2 linked regions of the Lepisosteus oculatus genome follow. The protein of the gene in region 1 purifies or fractionates together with the protein of each later gene. This does not show direct contact. Links are inferred from orthologs where the notes say so. Each region holds a gene or a part of one and is shown on either strand. Other genes may lie near its edges.

Region 1 (7,285 bases):
ATACTGTAAACAGGCGCCGTCCTTCGGATGAGACGTAAAACCGAGGTCCTGACTCTCTGTGGTCATTAAAAAATCCCAGGGCGCTTCTCGAAAAGAGTAGGGGTGTAACCCCGGTGTCCTGGCCAAATTTCCAATTGGCCCTTACTAATCATGGCCTCCTTATAATCCCCCTCTATGAATTGGCTACATTACTCTGCTCTCCTCCCCACTGATAGCTAATGTGTGGTGAGCGTTCTGGCGCACTATGGCTGCCGTCGCATCATCCAGGTGGATGCTGCACATTGGTGGTGGTGGAGGGGAGTCCCCATTACCTGTAAAGCGCTTTGAGGGGAGTGTCCAGAAAAGCGCTATATAAGTGTAAGCAATTATTATTATTATAATTCACTATTGTCAGTCTTTGCTCCATTTCTTGACTAAGCTTGCTTTCTTCTTGTCCTATGAAACTAATAAATAGCTATATTTTTATTTCATTTTATGCAACTGGTTTAACTGAAACATTTCCTAACAAAATGTATAATCTTAAGTCAGTTCTGCAATTCCGATTACAATACCTTGGGAAGAATCAATTGGTCCTGTTTTGGCAACACAGCAAAAAAAATACCATATTTGTGCTTCTTTACAAATTGGAGTTCACGTGCAACATCTATGCATAAAAGGAATGACATCAAACCAGAGACACAAGTAAACACGTCAGTTTGCGTCCTTCTAGCTTCTCTCATACATACAATCTACTTCCTTTCTTGTCTCAGAGTCTTATCAGAAATGTTTTCCATTGATTTGCACCTGAAAGGATTATCTATGAGAAAACTGCTTGCTTTGAAGAAGAGTGGAAACAAGCACTCTGGTGAATCTAAACGGAGAACAATCTTCATTGTGTGCAAAGCCAACGTTGTGCACGTCATATCTGCAAAATGCTTGAATGGTCCTGAATTATATAATTTGTATGCATACCCATAAAGGGTGGAAAATGGTGTTTATTTCGCTGGTGATATGCAAATTAGAGAACTCTAATGACATTATCACACTTTTTCCTGCCTATGTTACATAAGGTTTGAAGAAGCGGCAGTGACCTTGAGTAAATGAAAGAAATCCAGGGAACCATGAGCAGAATGTGTTTTGTTGAACGTCAACAGACATGAAATGACGTTAAGAGCTGAACAGCCCTCAGTTTTCTCAGATTAGAGTTGTGCATAGGTGTCAGGGAAGCTGATCTGCAAGTGTCCAGAACATAGATGGGTTTGGTAGACTGAAAAATCCACACATATTGTGATGAGACAGACTACGGTTTAGGGCACCTTAAGGCTGCTGTTTGTGTGGCGTGAGCAGAGTACAGTAGATGCTGAGGAGTGCTGTTCAAACTCAATAAATACCCAAAAGACAAAATTAAAACTAAATGATTTGCATGACCTTTTCAGTGAAAACACATATAGATGCGGAATAATGTACTGAATATATTATTTTCCGTACTAATAACATCTCTAGATTTACTTAAGATCTTTGGCATTTCCAGAAGGTTGTCTAGGGTAGTCCTAGCTCACTACTACTACTGATAATACATTCCATTTCCTGATCACTTGTGACTGCAGTACTTATCACATTGTTTTTTGTGCAGCATCTATGCATTAGTCTATTCTTACACTGTAAGACTATTCACAGAGACAAAGAAACTGTGAAACATTAAACCCATTGTAATTACAGTGTCCAAAAAACACACCCATCTCATCCATGTGCTAGACAGCCACTGTGTACTGTAGCTGGCTTCATGCCTAATCATGACTAGAAGCTTCTGGAACTCATGATGCTACATCTGTAATCACAAGCCGATAGCTGAGAGGCTTGGTGAAAGTGCTGATAGACAGCTGTGTGGGACATCTTCAATCATGCAGAAGCTGCACACCAGCTGCACTCTGAACATTCAAGCTGCAGAACACCACTCCAGGTCTCAGAATGGGACCTTAATCGATTGACAAGGATGACTGGGCATTTAATTCACCACTGCTGACATTGTGACTTCCCATTTGTCTGTTTTACTGTGGAGGGAGGGAGGTTAGATACAGTAAATATCTTGGCAAATGAACTCTTGTAGTCTGGACAGCTGTTGTTTGGGTCTTCACAGGTAAGCTGGTCATCAAACATTTGTGGATCTCAATGTATTTTATCGTTTAATTTACAGAGTTATTTTACACTGAAATATGTAGTTTGTGACAGCATGTAGTGCGTGAAGAAATTAGCAAGGACATTTATATCATCTCACCCTAACAGCCAGTAATCAATACTAACAGAGTGTAGTTAAATATAAATAATTACTTTCACTTCTAGTTTTAATTAACAACATGGATTTAAATTAATCATGGGCAGAACATCCTCAGTAAGACTTTCTTAGTTTTTTTTCCTCTCCAGAAATTAGCAAACAGTGAAACTGTGTACTCCAATATAACTTTTGTCGTTTAAAAACATCAATTTCAGGAATCCCAAAGCTTGAGCAGATCACCAATACATCATCATAAATAATATTACAATAAAACGGCAGCATTACCCCCAGAAATCTATAAAAATGGCAGGGTTGTTCATTCTTTTCTGTTCCATGTAAATGATACTTAGGCAAAGAAGGCGTATTTTAGAATATTTTCAACAAGTACCAATTAAAACAGGTACAATCGCTTGCAAAAGTCTACATTTCCACTTACTGTCATCAATCAAAATAACTAAACATCTTCTCCACTTCCTGTTAGCTTACAATACAATGACACAAACACTGGTTTTCCATTGAAGGGATTTAAAGAAAACCAACGGGTGCTATTTCGATGCACGTTGTATATCCTTCACACCGATGGATATGTTCAATAACACAATGAAGTTTATCTATTAAAAAAAGAAGTGTCTCTCTCCTTTATCCAATTGCTACAGTACCACCAGAAAAAGACGTGAAGAAAAAAAAACATTTTAAACATCTACACAGATGTTTAGTGTTTAAATTAGTTTCTCTATCGCCATTCAATAAACTTTTAAACTGAAGATGGGTCTGCAAAATGGCAACGTTAGTAGAAGTTATTGACTTAAAACAGGGAAAGCAGTAAACCAATTCAACACTTCATTTTAGCTGATTTAAAGCTTACCGAAGACAGTTCATCGCATCCAAGCAAACCGTAGTAGTCTTCCAGATCTTCAGGTTTGCAGTTCAAAATCGCGTCCATCTGAAGACAGGTAAGGTTTACCAACACTAATCAAGATACGCGTAGTTCAGTACCAATTGCTTCAAATATGAGCAATGAAACAACTTTACCTTAAACCTGCTAAATGTAGCCTATCTTATGACTCAGAAAATAAAAAAAAAATCATTCCAGTTCTTTCACGCAACGGTCAGCTGATGCTTTTGAGCATTTTGATCCAGAGTTTATTGGACCAGCGACGGTGGGAGGAGAAAATACACACTGAAGGGGCTTTGACTTACATTACACAATGCAATTTGGGATATGTAGTCGAGATGTCCAGTACATCTCCTGCGTTGTACCTAGAACCTGTTAGTATGTCTATTATCCCGCTTCGTAAATTTTAAGTTAGGTCTTTTAGTTTACATTCCGTATATCAGGCAAAAGTACCGTAGAGTGTGATTCAAAATCTCGCATCTAGCAATCACTGTTTAACACCAGTATGTATGTTTTAGAGCCGATATCGGTGCACAAAACCCTTTATAGCACCTATCATCATCTAACCGAAAAAGATTAAGCAATAAGCAACGTCCTTTATCATGATTAAATGTGATATACATCTTTAATTCAATAAATATCAGAGACACAGTCATCCCTGCTTTCCATACTTGCTCGCCTCCGAGCCTATAAAATAACGGAAGCCATTTGCCAACAACGCCTGTGCCTTTCAGGCAGATACATAACGCTTAAACTTAAATTTGGTTTGATGGCCGAGATGAATCATAGAATAAAGTTGCAATGGTTATTAGTATGATGGATTATAGAGAGACGTATAGATAGAGAAAAGTCTTGTGATGAAGCAAGGCGTTATCCGTTAGATACAGCCACGGTACTACATTCTTTGTCAGCCCCGAAGGCGCCTGCGCAGTCGCGTCGTTCCGCCCCTGGCTCCACTCTAGTCACATGACATCGTTTGTTGTGGTTGACGTCATCGGCTGGTAGCGGTGTCGCGTGGGCCACCGCTGGAAGAGATCGAGTCACGTGGTCCGTTTAAATCTCCCATCAGCTGTCGTGCACGGAAGATTTCTATGGTCGAGTCTGAGCGGCGAGGAGCCCGAGTGAGCTAAAGATGGCGGACGGAGAGAATATCCTCCTAAACTCCAGCGCCAGTGGCTTCGAAACAGATGAACCTCTGCCTAAAAAGCCGAAGGTGGGATTGGCGTTTAGTTACGGGGATAAGGCCGCTCAGATCGATCAGGAGAGTGGGATCGGGGCCGGCGAGACTGGGGCGGCGGCTGCCGTAGCACCAGCAGCTGCAGCGGTGTCGGCGGCGGCGGCGACGACACAGCGGCCGGGGTTGGAGGAGGTGGTGACGGTGGGACAGGCCTCGGCTGCACCAGGAGGAGACAATGGGCTTCTGGGCTTGGAGCTGCAGGAGGGGCTGGGGGAGGAGGGAGAGAATGATCCGGTCGGCGGTTCTGCTGCAGAGCGACCAGGTACGGAGTTCTCCGCGATCGCTGCTCACTCCTGTCTGGTCCACTTGAATTAACGTGGACAGTCTAATACAGTCTGTAGAACTTTTCACAACTCTACCGGTGGATAAAAATTACATAATAAAAAAGTGCAACATAAATGCCGTGCAAGGGTAACCATTCTGCACCAAGCGTACCTATTTACCCGCCATGTACAAAAAACTCCGAAAACTTAAAATTCTGCATAGTCTATATTGAACATACATTTAATATAATATTCGTGATTTAAAATTGAGAGTAAAATTTAACGTAGCATTTTTCGTGTATAACTTTAAGGATTAATATAGGGCCATGTATTTCTGAAGTGGGCATCGCAGTTTTGTACAGAAAATTAACTAATGCAATGATCAGAACGTGCACATATCAAGAGTATGGCAAGAAGGTTTTCTTACGATTTACTTGCAGGAAAGTACCAGTGCGTCTGGGGTGCATAGTATAAGGTTATTAAAGTAATTAAATAACGGTTTATATAGACGCTGGATTCTTTACCGAATAATCGTGATTTCCTCATACAATTTCACATCGAATTATACCCGTCTACTTGGCGCTTTATTATAAACTCTACAATCAATTAAAAAAAAACACCAGAATCAGTCACACCTCTTTCCTGTGCATATATAATTTGTAAAAAAAAATCTGCAGATTTCCTTGTCAGTCTTTCAATTTTTCAGACATGGCGTTGAAGATGTTTCCATTATTTTGTGATTAACTGATTTGTACAAACTCAGTTAGGTCAAGACAGAGCCGTGATTCAGTTTTCTTACTTTTGTTTTTGCTGACAGAGTACATTGATCTCAATGATGAGATTCTGCCCAATGGATTCCATTCCTACGATTGCGATGACGATGATGACAGATCTTCGCACGCAAGTTCTAGTGACTGGACACCTCAGCCCCAGATAGGTATGGCTTTTAAAATAGTAATAAACAGTTGTGTCAGTAACGCAGACATTGTAGTTTTATTCAGAAGACAAGAGTTTGTGTATGGGTTTTAAATTTCATTCTTGCAGACAAAAATGACAGTTGCATTTAATTTTTTTTTGAATATGAGATTCCAGTTGAAGTATTGCTGAAGTGGAAGACTGCTTTTGGAAATTAATTTAATAGGTTTAAGAGATATTAAGATTGTGTCAACTGAAAAATTGATTCAAGTCAAATATGTTTTGTTTCAGGCTCCTACAGTTTTATTCAGCAACACATTATGAGAGAAACAGACCCTCGAACGATTTTAAAAGACCTTCTCCCAGAAACTGTTCTTCCTCCTGATCTGGATGATATGACACTGTGGCAAATAATAATCAACATATCGGAGCCTCCAAAAAGAAAGAAACGCAAAGACATCAACACCATGGAAGATGTGGTCAGGTTACTGCAAGAATGTAAAAAGATTATAGTTTTGACCGGAGCTGGGGTATGTAATTATTAGAAATGTCACTGAAGAAATACTAGAAAGGCTGTGTTTGTCTTAAGAGCTACAGCGGAGTACATCGTTTCAAAAATAATGTAGACATAACTGTATAGCACATAGCAAATTCAGGCAAATGTTACTGGAAAAGCATATTGTGTAAAGCTTTTTATAATCCTATATGCCTCTCAGTAACTCTTAATATCACACGGACTTACTCCAAAACCTACATCATGAGCTTAAAATGGTGCACTGTTTTAGGATTGTTGGATGTTAAAATTTGGTTAAATAACTAAAAGCTGAGCAGAAATTCTTTGTAGCTGGGAGCTGAATCTCCTCCTTCATTGAATTTAATGGAATAATAAGAGGAAATGCTGTAATTGGGGAAAAAATGAGAAAATCTAGGTATTTAAAATTATTGTATGCGCAGAAGGAGCGGACACCAACAGGATTTTTCCTTCTAATGGAATCTTGAGGGTGTTTTCAGTAAACCTAGATATATCTTTCTTTAACATCATTACATGGGTCTTTTGAAATAAGTAATTTAGTGTTGGATTTTATGAAATGTGAAAAGAGCTGTAAACATTTCTTTCTGACTGCAGGTCTCGGTGTCCTGTGGAATACCTGACTTTAGATCCCGTGATGGCATTTACGCGCGGCTTGCGATTGACTTCCCCGATCTTCCTGATCCTCAGGCGATGTTTGACATAGAATACTTCAGGAGAGATCCGCGACCCTTCTTTAAGTTTGCCAAGGTTTGTTCATTTAAATGTAAGAGCGCCTTGCCTATGTCACAGATCGCTGCCGTCATTATTAAACATGCCAGAGTGACTGTGACTTGTGTTATGAATAAATATTTTACATCCAAAGCATTTTTTGCTTACTTTTTTGGGAAATTGCATATTAACATGTACATGCACCAAAATCACTACATTTTGAACAGGAGATGATTAAAAGTATAAGAAGAAATGGTCTCCATTTTTGGGGTGTGTAAAATGTTCTAAAATTATTTGAAACATCTTACATTCTCTATCAAGGGCGGAGTTTTTGGGTTACTTACAGTGTGTTCTGCTCTCTCAGGAGATCTATCCAGGACAGTTCCAGCCGTCGCCATGTCATAAGTTCATTGCAATGTTGGATAAGCAGGGGAAGCTTCTTCGAAACTATACTCAGAATATCGACACACTGGAGCAAGTGGCT
Region 2 (7,738 bases), on another chromosome or scaffold:
CAGGGCAGCAATGCTAACAAACTGTGCCACCCACTTTTTACTCATAAACACAAAAATGCAGATAATGAAAAAGATTTAATGCACCATAGTTCTGTTCCTAGAATCAATTTAAGAGATATAAAAATCAACCAAAGGTGAAAAACAAAAGTATATCAAATTAATAAAGTCAGATGACACAATGCCATGTTTTGAGAAGAGCACTTTATTATATTAAAAGGAAAACTTATTGGGTGTTTGTTGCTCATATTCTGTAAACAGTAAATATTTGTCTGCAAAAGAGCAACATTTCAGAACTAAATGAAGAACAAACAAAGAAAGCCTTGTGGAATGTGTGGTTCTTTCATTATCTTATCTTGAAAGTTTAAACTGCTCGTTCTTTGCAAGAAAGGTGGCTTGTGTGTAGCCACTTCTCCTGTGTTCAAAAATAACAGGTCTTGTCTAAGCTCTGTTTAAGCATTACACAACTGGAAACAAACTGAGTACAAAACAGCAGTACATGTTATTACTTCACAAGCAAGGACATATTACTTAGAAAATGAAAGATTGTAGGGTTTGTCACACAATAAAGCTTTTCAACACATCAATGTTGAGAAAGTGAAACTCTGTGTGTTGACCAGACTGACAGATTTCACATAATGCAGAATTTATGCGTATGCAAAGGCAAAACAGTTTATCAGAAAAGTTTATGAGTAATGAGTAAAATGTAATCAATTAAATTAGGCATTTATAGAACCATGTTAAGGTATTAGGTATTAATTTTACTTTTGCACAGAATATCAGAATAACATAATATCTATACTGCTGCTGAAGTAACCTTTTCCACATTGTACACTCCTGTTTTCCTTGTTACATTAACCATCAAATCTTTGCAAGATTTTTACCATAAAACTCCAGGATGTTTGTGGTGTTGTTCTAACTATAAGAAAGCCTTCTATGCTTCAGTTTTCCTCTGTAGTTCAATATTACTTGCAGTAGAAATGTTAGATATTTCTATTCACTTGTATAAATGGAAGCTACAGAACATATCACAAACATGGAGATCTCAGCAGCAATGTAACAAGACATGGGAGACATCAACAAAGACATTAAGAATGGATCCAATTATAGACAAGTACTAATACTTTCCATCAATCATGGAAAGCCACCTTAGTTAATGCTACTTGTTATGCATTGTAGTAAGCTCAAAGAGTGCAAGATTGCTAATATTTTATTCATGTAATAGCTCTCTCAGTCAGGCTCTTAGTTTGATAAATACTGGATGGCCAGGCTGTTATTTATTATCCACTGAAAGGTTTACTAGTGGAGCTCATATGATTTTGGGAGAGGTCCCAGCAGTAAAATGAGCTTTCAAATAAGAGGAAAATACATTTTAAATTGTTCATCATTGTGAAGTTCAAATGTCATGAGCAAAAAACTCTTTTAGAAGCAAATCTGTTAAAAAGACAGAAACAAAGAAACGCTTTCTCCTATATTATTGTATCGCCATGTCTCATTTATTTCTTGCGTGTCCGTGAGCCAGAATACAACCTTGTAAACGATTAGAGACAGTTAAAACCCGGAGTAGTAATTTAGACCACTAAATAAACGCAGCCGGATGGCACAGTGGCGTGGGGGGTTAGCGCAGCTCAGCTTCTGTGCTGCTTGACCCCCGAGTCTGTGGGTTTTCTCTGGTCCAAAACCACGCTGTCCTAGTTAACTGTCATCTCTGACATTACACCGTGTGCGTGTTCAAGAGAATGTGTATGTGCATTTCCTGCGAACGACTGAGTAGGGGTAGCCTACCTTGAAAGGACAAATCGATTACGGATAATGGAAGGACCCAGACTCTGGAATTTAATATGCGCAGTGCTGAGTTTCTGAATTGTTCTTTAAAAAAAATAATTCACGAACGCGCCCTTGTATTCAACCACTAGCACAAGCAGTCCCTTTACACTCTGAAAACCTGCGATCATTTTTTTAACCCATTATATGTATTTTATTTTCGTAATTTGCATTTCTTTTGTGTTCTTTGGCGTCTATATTAAAACGTTTTCTACAGTTAAAGGTGTCTGAGATTTCTCTAAATGTATATACATATTAATCTAGAAATCTATTTTCCACAGTTCGGGTAAAACGCTGCTCTCTTCTTGACGAACTTTGCGATCGCTGTGTTACAGCAACAAAAAACCGGGGAGGGGGGGACAAGTGAATTTTAAAACGCGGTATCCTTTCATTACCATTTCCAGATATACTCAAGCGTATCGACCAAGTGCAGTGTCATGTTTACGTGATGTACAGAGACCGAGCTCGGGCTGTTGCAACAATGTGAAACTTATTAGGGACATGCTCAAAAAACACAGTAAAAATAAAAACGCAAAGGCAAGAGTAGCCGAACAAGTACTTCTACGAGATCCCTATCGTTAAGCAACTACTGTATGTATTGTTTGGGCATGAGGAAATTACTTTTCGGTTTTTTTTATATATATATATCCACTTCTGATTACCTCCGATTATTTAAAAACAGATTTTTAAAATTATTGATATGAACCTATTTTATTCAAACCGTATGCCTCTCTGTAACCTTTCTCTAGATCAAAACACTTTCATTTGAATCCGGAGAGTCTTTACCGAGATACAAAACCATATTAAAGCAGATAATTATTCTATTTCCTCTGATAAACCTCCCGGCTGTGTGTGGTGGGGCGGAGACTTACATCTAAGAGGCTGAACAACAGTGTTTGTACAAAATCTCCACATATCCGCAGATGTCTATGAATGATTTATAAAGTAAATATATAAAAACTTCAGTCGGATAAACTCGCGATGGAATAGGCATACATAACATAGTGTATATGCCATTTACTGTATGTGTGCTGTGAGAGCTTCACCTTTCGTATTTATTAAGTCTTTTCATCACACCTAAACAGAAAAAGCACTACTTCTGATGGTTATTTCATTAAATGAAAGTATCAGGTTATTTCTGTATATATAATCTTAATTTTTCACTTACGATTTATTTATATCGGGTGTTACGTAGTGTGCATCAGCGATTAGTTAAAATAAATGTAAATACTACAACCGTTTATGACAATTAGACGCAGTATAACAACGACGAAATATAACAAACGCATACTATACATATAAATATACGACAATGTAAACTTTTCTTTCAAAAATTACTCCATACTTGAGTACACAAATGAACATTCATTTGCTATGTGCTTTTTTCGATAAGTGTCCCAGGACATTCAAAACTTGGACAAAGTACCTTAAGCAACGTGTCAGTTATATCAACCTTTAAAGGTATTTAAACTCTGAACGCAAACATCTTTAAAGAAGAAATACAAGACGACAGAAGTATTTGATAAATGGCACAAGAATGAACTAGACAGAGGTACAGTACTGGGATAATCGTTTTCAACAGAATAAGAACAGAATAGAACAGAATACGCGTTTTGTACTCTTTGTATCACAGACGATTCAGCACAATATGGAATAGTAAGCAACTGCTTTCTTCAAAGGGTAACACACATGCGTTAGCACAAACAACATTTTGAAGCTTTATAATATTGTTAAATTTGAAACGACATTTCTCTAATTGGTGTCTTTAAAACAAGACAAATTAGGATAAGAGAACAAGATGCTGCCCGTCCTAACCTAAACAATTAATCATTAAACTGATATTCGCTAAAACAGTTGCATTTTAACAATCCTACTAAAGCTAAAAAAGCAGGAAGTATTAGTACTGGAGTCCAAGGCTTGAAAACACCTTACATAACGGTATACCCAACATTGTTACTATCCACAAAGTAGGAAAAATGTACAGCGAAGTAAAGTCTACACCTTTGTGTTTTCATGGTATAGAAAAACATGTGAGTCACTACCTGTACCTAGTAAAAACTGAAAATATTTTAATAAAAAAGTTGTCTTCCCGTGTTTGGATGAATTTTGTAGTTTAGAGAGCACCCCTTATGCTAAGTCCCACAGACGTTTGAGAGACCCCTGCTGTAACTTTACCTTAAACCCGCCTCCTGCTTTAATTCGATTGGCGGGCGACGCTCGGACAACTGGACGTGTATCATGTCAATATCACAACAGACGACCTAATCCATCGATTGACCCCGTTGTGACCAGCGCGCTAAACCTAACCGAGACATGTCCCTGCATGTAATACAAACAGACTCGCAAAACATTTATAATTCCACTGGTGAGATCAATTATTTATCAAGGTTTAAAATTAATCATTCATATTATGATGTAGTGTGTTCTTACTTTAACATGTTTTATTTAAATTAACATTGTTTTTACAAGCCAAAACAAAGTTTGACAAATGGTTTCTCAAAAGTGTATTATTTTCACATGTGATTCCATTGCTGCATCAACAGCTGTACTGAATTTGTAAAATAATCGTATTTTAGTATTTAATAGTTTTAATCCGTCTACTCTTGGTAGTGTGTCGTACCTTGCACCATCTTCAGCCCTTATTAGGTCTATTCCCAATAATAAAGTGTCATTAAACAGAGATACAGGTAAAATGCATATATGTCCCAAGATTTAAACTTTCAAGTACGTTTTACCAGCTTTAACATAAAAATTGTGTTTTAATCATACACCAATAATTATCGTAAAAACTAAAAAATTAATACATTTAAAAAACAAAACGAAAATGATATTCCTTTAACAATTAAATATATCTAACCGCTGTCTGTGTAACTAAGCGGGTAACCAGATATTCAAAAACAATACGTAATCCCATAATGCACAGTACTTCGAATTACCTCATCCCATCAGCCACCGCGAGAAGTAGAATCTTCTGGGTGGTCGTCTAGGCAACGCACCTTATCTGAAAATAAGGGCACGCCCAGTGTATTGCCTGCAGCCAATAAGAAACTTCACGCATTACATCATTGCTATTTTTAGTGAGGCAGTACCAGCAGATAAGGTTTGCCTCCACGCTGGAACAGCTCAGAGTATACAGACTTTAGCAGAGTTCAACACCCAAGTCTAAAGAGGTGTATAAGCCCCCTAGCAACTTCAGCACTTAACACGTTTCTTCAGAAGACAACTGAAGAGTACCACAAAAGGCACTTTTAACAGACACTGCTTCAGTTACACCCCGAGACTGTGCGTGTCATTGAGCAAGCTGACTCAGAGAAGTGTCGCTAATAAGGAAGAAAACTTTTTTCCCCATTTGACTGGGCTTTGGGGAGTTCAACTTAAACATCCAAGTTCGAAGAAGCTGACAAACCCCCGAGTAGCAACAGACGTTAAAGACGGGCTACACTGGACAAGTACTTCTACAACAACTTTGAAACTGAAGAAAAAAGGGCTTTCTTCTATAAAGAACAGACTTTTTTTCATTGCTGAAAAGTCGAGGAGGACTGACAAGTCGAACTTTGACCGAGGTGGACTTTCAATAACTACAGGTAAAACAAGGGAAACTTTTTTGTCTCCTGTGTGAAAAATATTTGAACTGAGGTTTGGTCAAACTTCTATGTCTACCAAGATGGAACCTACTTTCTACGATGACTCGCTGAATGCTACCTTCTCTCAGCACGAAACAACCGGCTACGGATATAACCCTAAAGCCCTGAAACAAAACATGACCCTGAATCTCTCAGATCCAACGGTCTCTCTCAAACCTCACCTGCGGGCAAAAGCCAATGACATCCTGACGTCTCCGGATGTCGGACTGCTCAAATTAGCCTCCCCGGAGTTGGAGCGGCTTATCATTCAGTCCAGCAACGGTCTCATCACCACAACCCCGACTCCGACACAGTTCCTGTGCCCGAAAAATGTCACGGACGAGCAAGAAGGGTTCGCCGAAGGTTTCGTCAGGGCACTGGCTGAGTTGCACCACCAGAACATGCCCGGTGTGCCCAGTGTCACCTCGGCACCGCAGAGCAACATTAACAACGCGATGGCACCTGTTTCCTCTATGGCTGGTAATACAGTTTTCAATTCCAGCATGCGTTCCGATCCGCCCGTGTACGCCGACCTCAGCACGTTCAATCCCACCATGAGCACCGCAGCGGCGCCCAGCTACAGCAATGCCAACACAAACATGAGCTACCCACCTCCGCCGCACCAGCACCCCATGAACTCGCAGTTGCCAGTTCAGCACCCGCGGCTCCAAGCTTTGAAAGAGGAGCCGCAGACTGTACCCGAGATGCCCGGCGAGACCCCTCCCCTCTCCCCCATAGACATGGAGAGCCAGGAGAGGATCAAGGCCGAGAGAAAGCGCATGAGGAACAGGATCGCTGCTTCTAAGTGCCGGAAGAGGAAGCTAGAGAGGATTTCCAGGCTGGAGGAAAAAGTGAAGACGCTCAAATCTCAGAACTCTGAACTGGCCTCCACCGCGAACATGCTCCGGGAGCAAGTGGCCCAGCTGAAACAGAAGGTCATGAATCATGTCAACAGCGGGTGCCAGCTCATGTTGACACAGCAGCTGCAAACCTTCTGAAGGAGAACGCGCGAGCGAGTTAAAGACTAATTGCAGAGAAATCAAGGACGAAACTTAAAAGGCTATACGAGCTATAGCAGCGGTCAGTTAGTATGCAGCAGTGAGAGAAAGAAACGGACTGAGAGAAAGACGAGAGACTGAGAGGAAGGAGGCTGCCTGACTGCCTGAGCCCCGCGCGCACAGGAGTTCCGACTTGACTGAAGTCCGAAACTTCAGAAGCTGAGTTTGTCGGTAGCAAAAGACAAGGCCACAAACAGCACAGCTTTGTAAATGTTCTGTTTCATGCTTTTTTCCCTGAAAGAACGAAAAGAGAGAGACCACGTTGACCAAGTTTTGCATGGACCTTACCTTCGAAGATCATTCAGTATTAAAAGATTTAAGTAAAACAAAATACACTGCAATAGAAACAGTAGGTTGCCTGTATGTAACGCCATGGAAAGGCGTGTACTGTGATGAAAGAAGGCTGAATACTTTTGAAAAAAGTTGCCTGAAGTTTGGGTTATGTACGCAAGGTTTTTTTTTCGTTACTTTTATGGCAACTCACGTACTTTCAATACAAAAAGCTTCAAGCCTTTGTAAATTTGTTTTATGTTGCTTAATGGGGTTTAACCCATTGTTATTTGTAAATAAGATTAAATTTTGAGGACTTATGTTTACCATTTGTAATAAATATATAATTTTTTATGTTGGTTTTCTGAAGATTTCAGAAACTAATCGATTATATTTAAGGACCGTGTAAATAAAGTATATAAAATGAATGTCTGTAATGTATCTCTTTTCTAAGTTTTGGGTGGTGGGTTTGTAGTTGTATAAGGAAAATGGTTTTCTTCCCTAAACGTTTTTCCCCCACTTTTTTCATATAACGAGCAAGTTAAAATGTTCTGAAACTGATCCGTCGATAACTGCAGGCATTCTTCTGTACTCTCCACATCCTACGCAAAATTCCCTCCCTCCTGTTTTCAGAAGTGGTAGGTACTGCACTGCCTCTTTCAAGTTTGAAAGCTCAAGAGGAAATGCGTGTTCTTTTATACACTAGGATTCTTTATACCACAAAAGCAACAGTTAAGTGCCTAGCTGACCAGACTTTTGAAAACTGAGATATTGATATTAATTGGATCTGGTGTAAAAAAAAAAGTTCCTGTCAATTTTAAACAGGCATTCAAAAAGTCCTAGCCTTTTTTGTATTGAAAACAAATCTTGAGTGAATCACATCTTTTAGTATGTGTAATTGAGCTTGATTTCAGGTGGTCTTTATGTGACAAAGTTTCAAGCACAATTATTTGCCTCATTTTGCAG

What was found. The genes of interacting proteins can lie anywhere in the genome.
Region 2: the proteins of sirt1 (region 1) and jun purify together in Homo sapiens (affinity purification with mass spectrometry; 4 studies listed by BioGRID and IntAct, with this or other methods). This does not show direct contact. The link is inferred for Lepisosteus oculatus from reciprocal best matches to the Homo sapiens genes SIRT1 and JUN.

The regions. Positions count from the first base shown.
Region 1 is NC_090699.1:33,370,050-33,377,334, forward strand, and holds the start of sirt1 (NAD-dependent protein deacetylase sirtuin-1), read left to right. Parts: upstream 1-4,278; coding exon 4,279-4,645; intron 4,646-5,463; coding exon 5,464-5,583; intron 5,584-5,852; coding exon 5,853-6,091; intron 6,092-6,687; coding exon 6,688-6,840; intron 6,841-7,145; coding exon of another isoform or gene 7,146-7,165; coding exon 7,166-7,285. Other genes in the region: dnajc12 (dnaJ homolog subfamily C member 12), read right to left, coding at 3,117-3,194, 7,146-7,199. UniProt on the Homo sapiens protein: NAD-dependent protein deacetylase that links transcriptional regulation directly to intracellular energetics and participates in the coordination of several separated cellular functions such as cell cycle, response to DNA damage, metabolism, apoptosis and autophagy.
Region 2 is NC_090704.1:17,935,087-17,942,824, reverse strand, and holds jun (transcription factor Jun), read left to right. Parts: upstream 1-4,921; 5' UTR 4,922-5,473; coding exon 5,474-6,442; 3' UTR 6,443-7,200; downstream 7,201-7,738. UniProt on the Homo sapiens protein: Transcription factor that recognizes and binds to the AP-1 consensus motif 5'-TGA[GC]TCA-3'.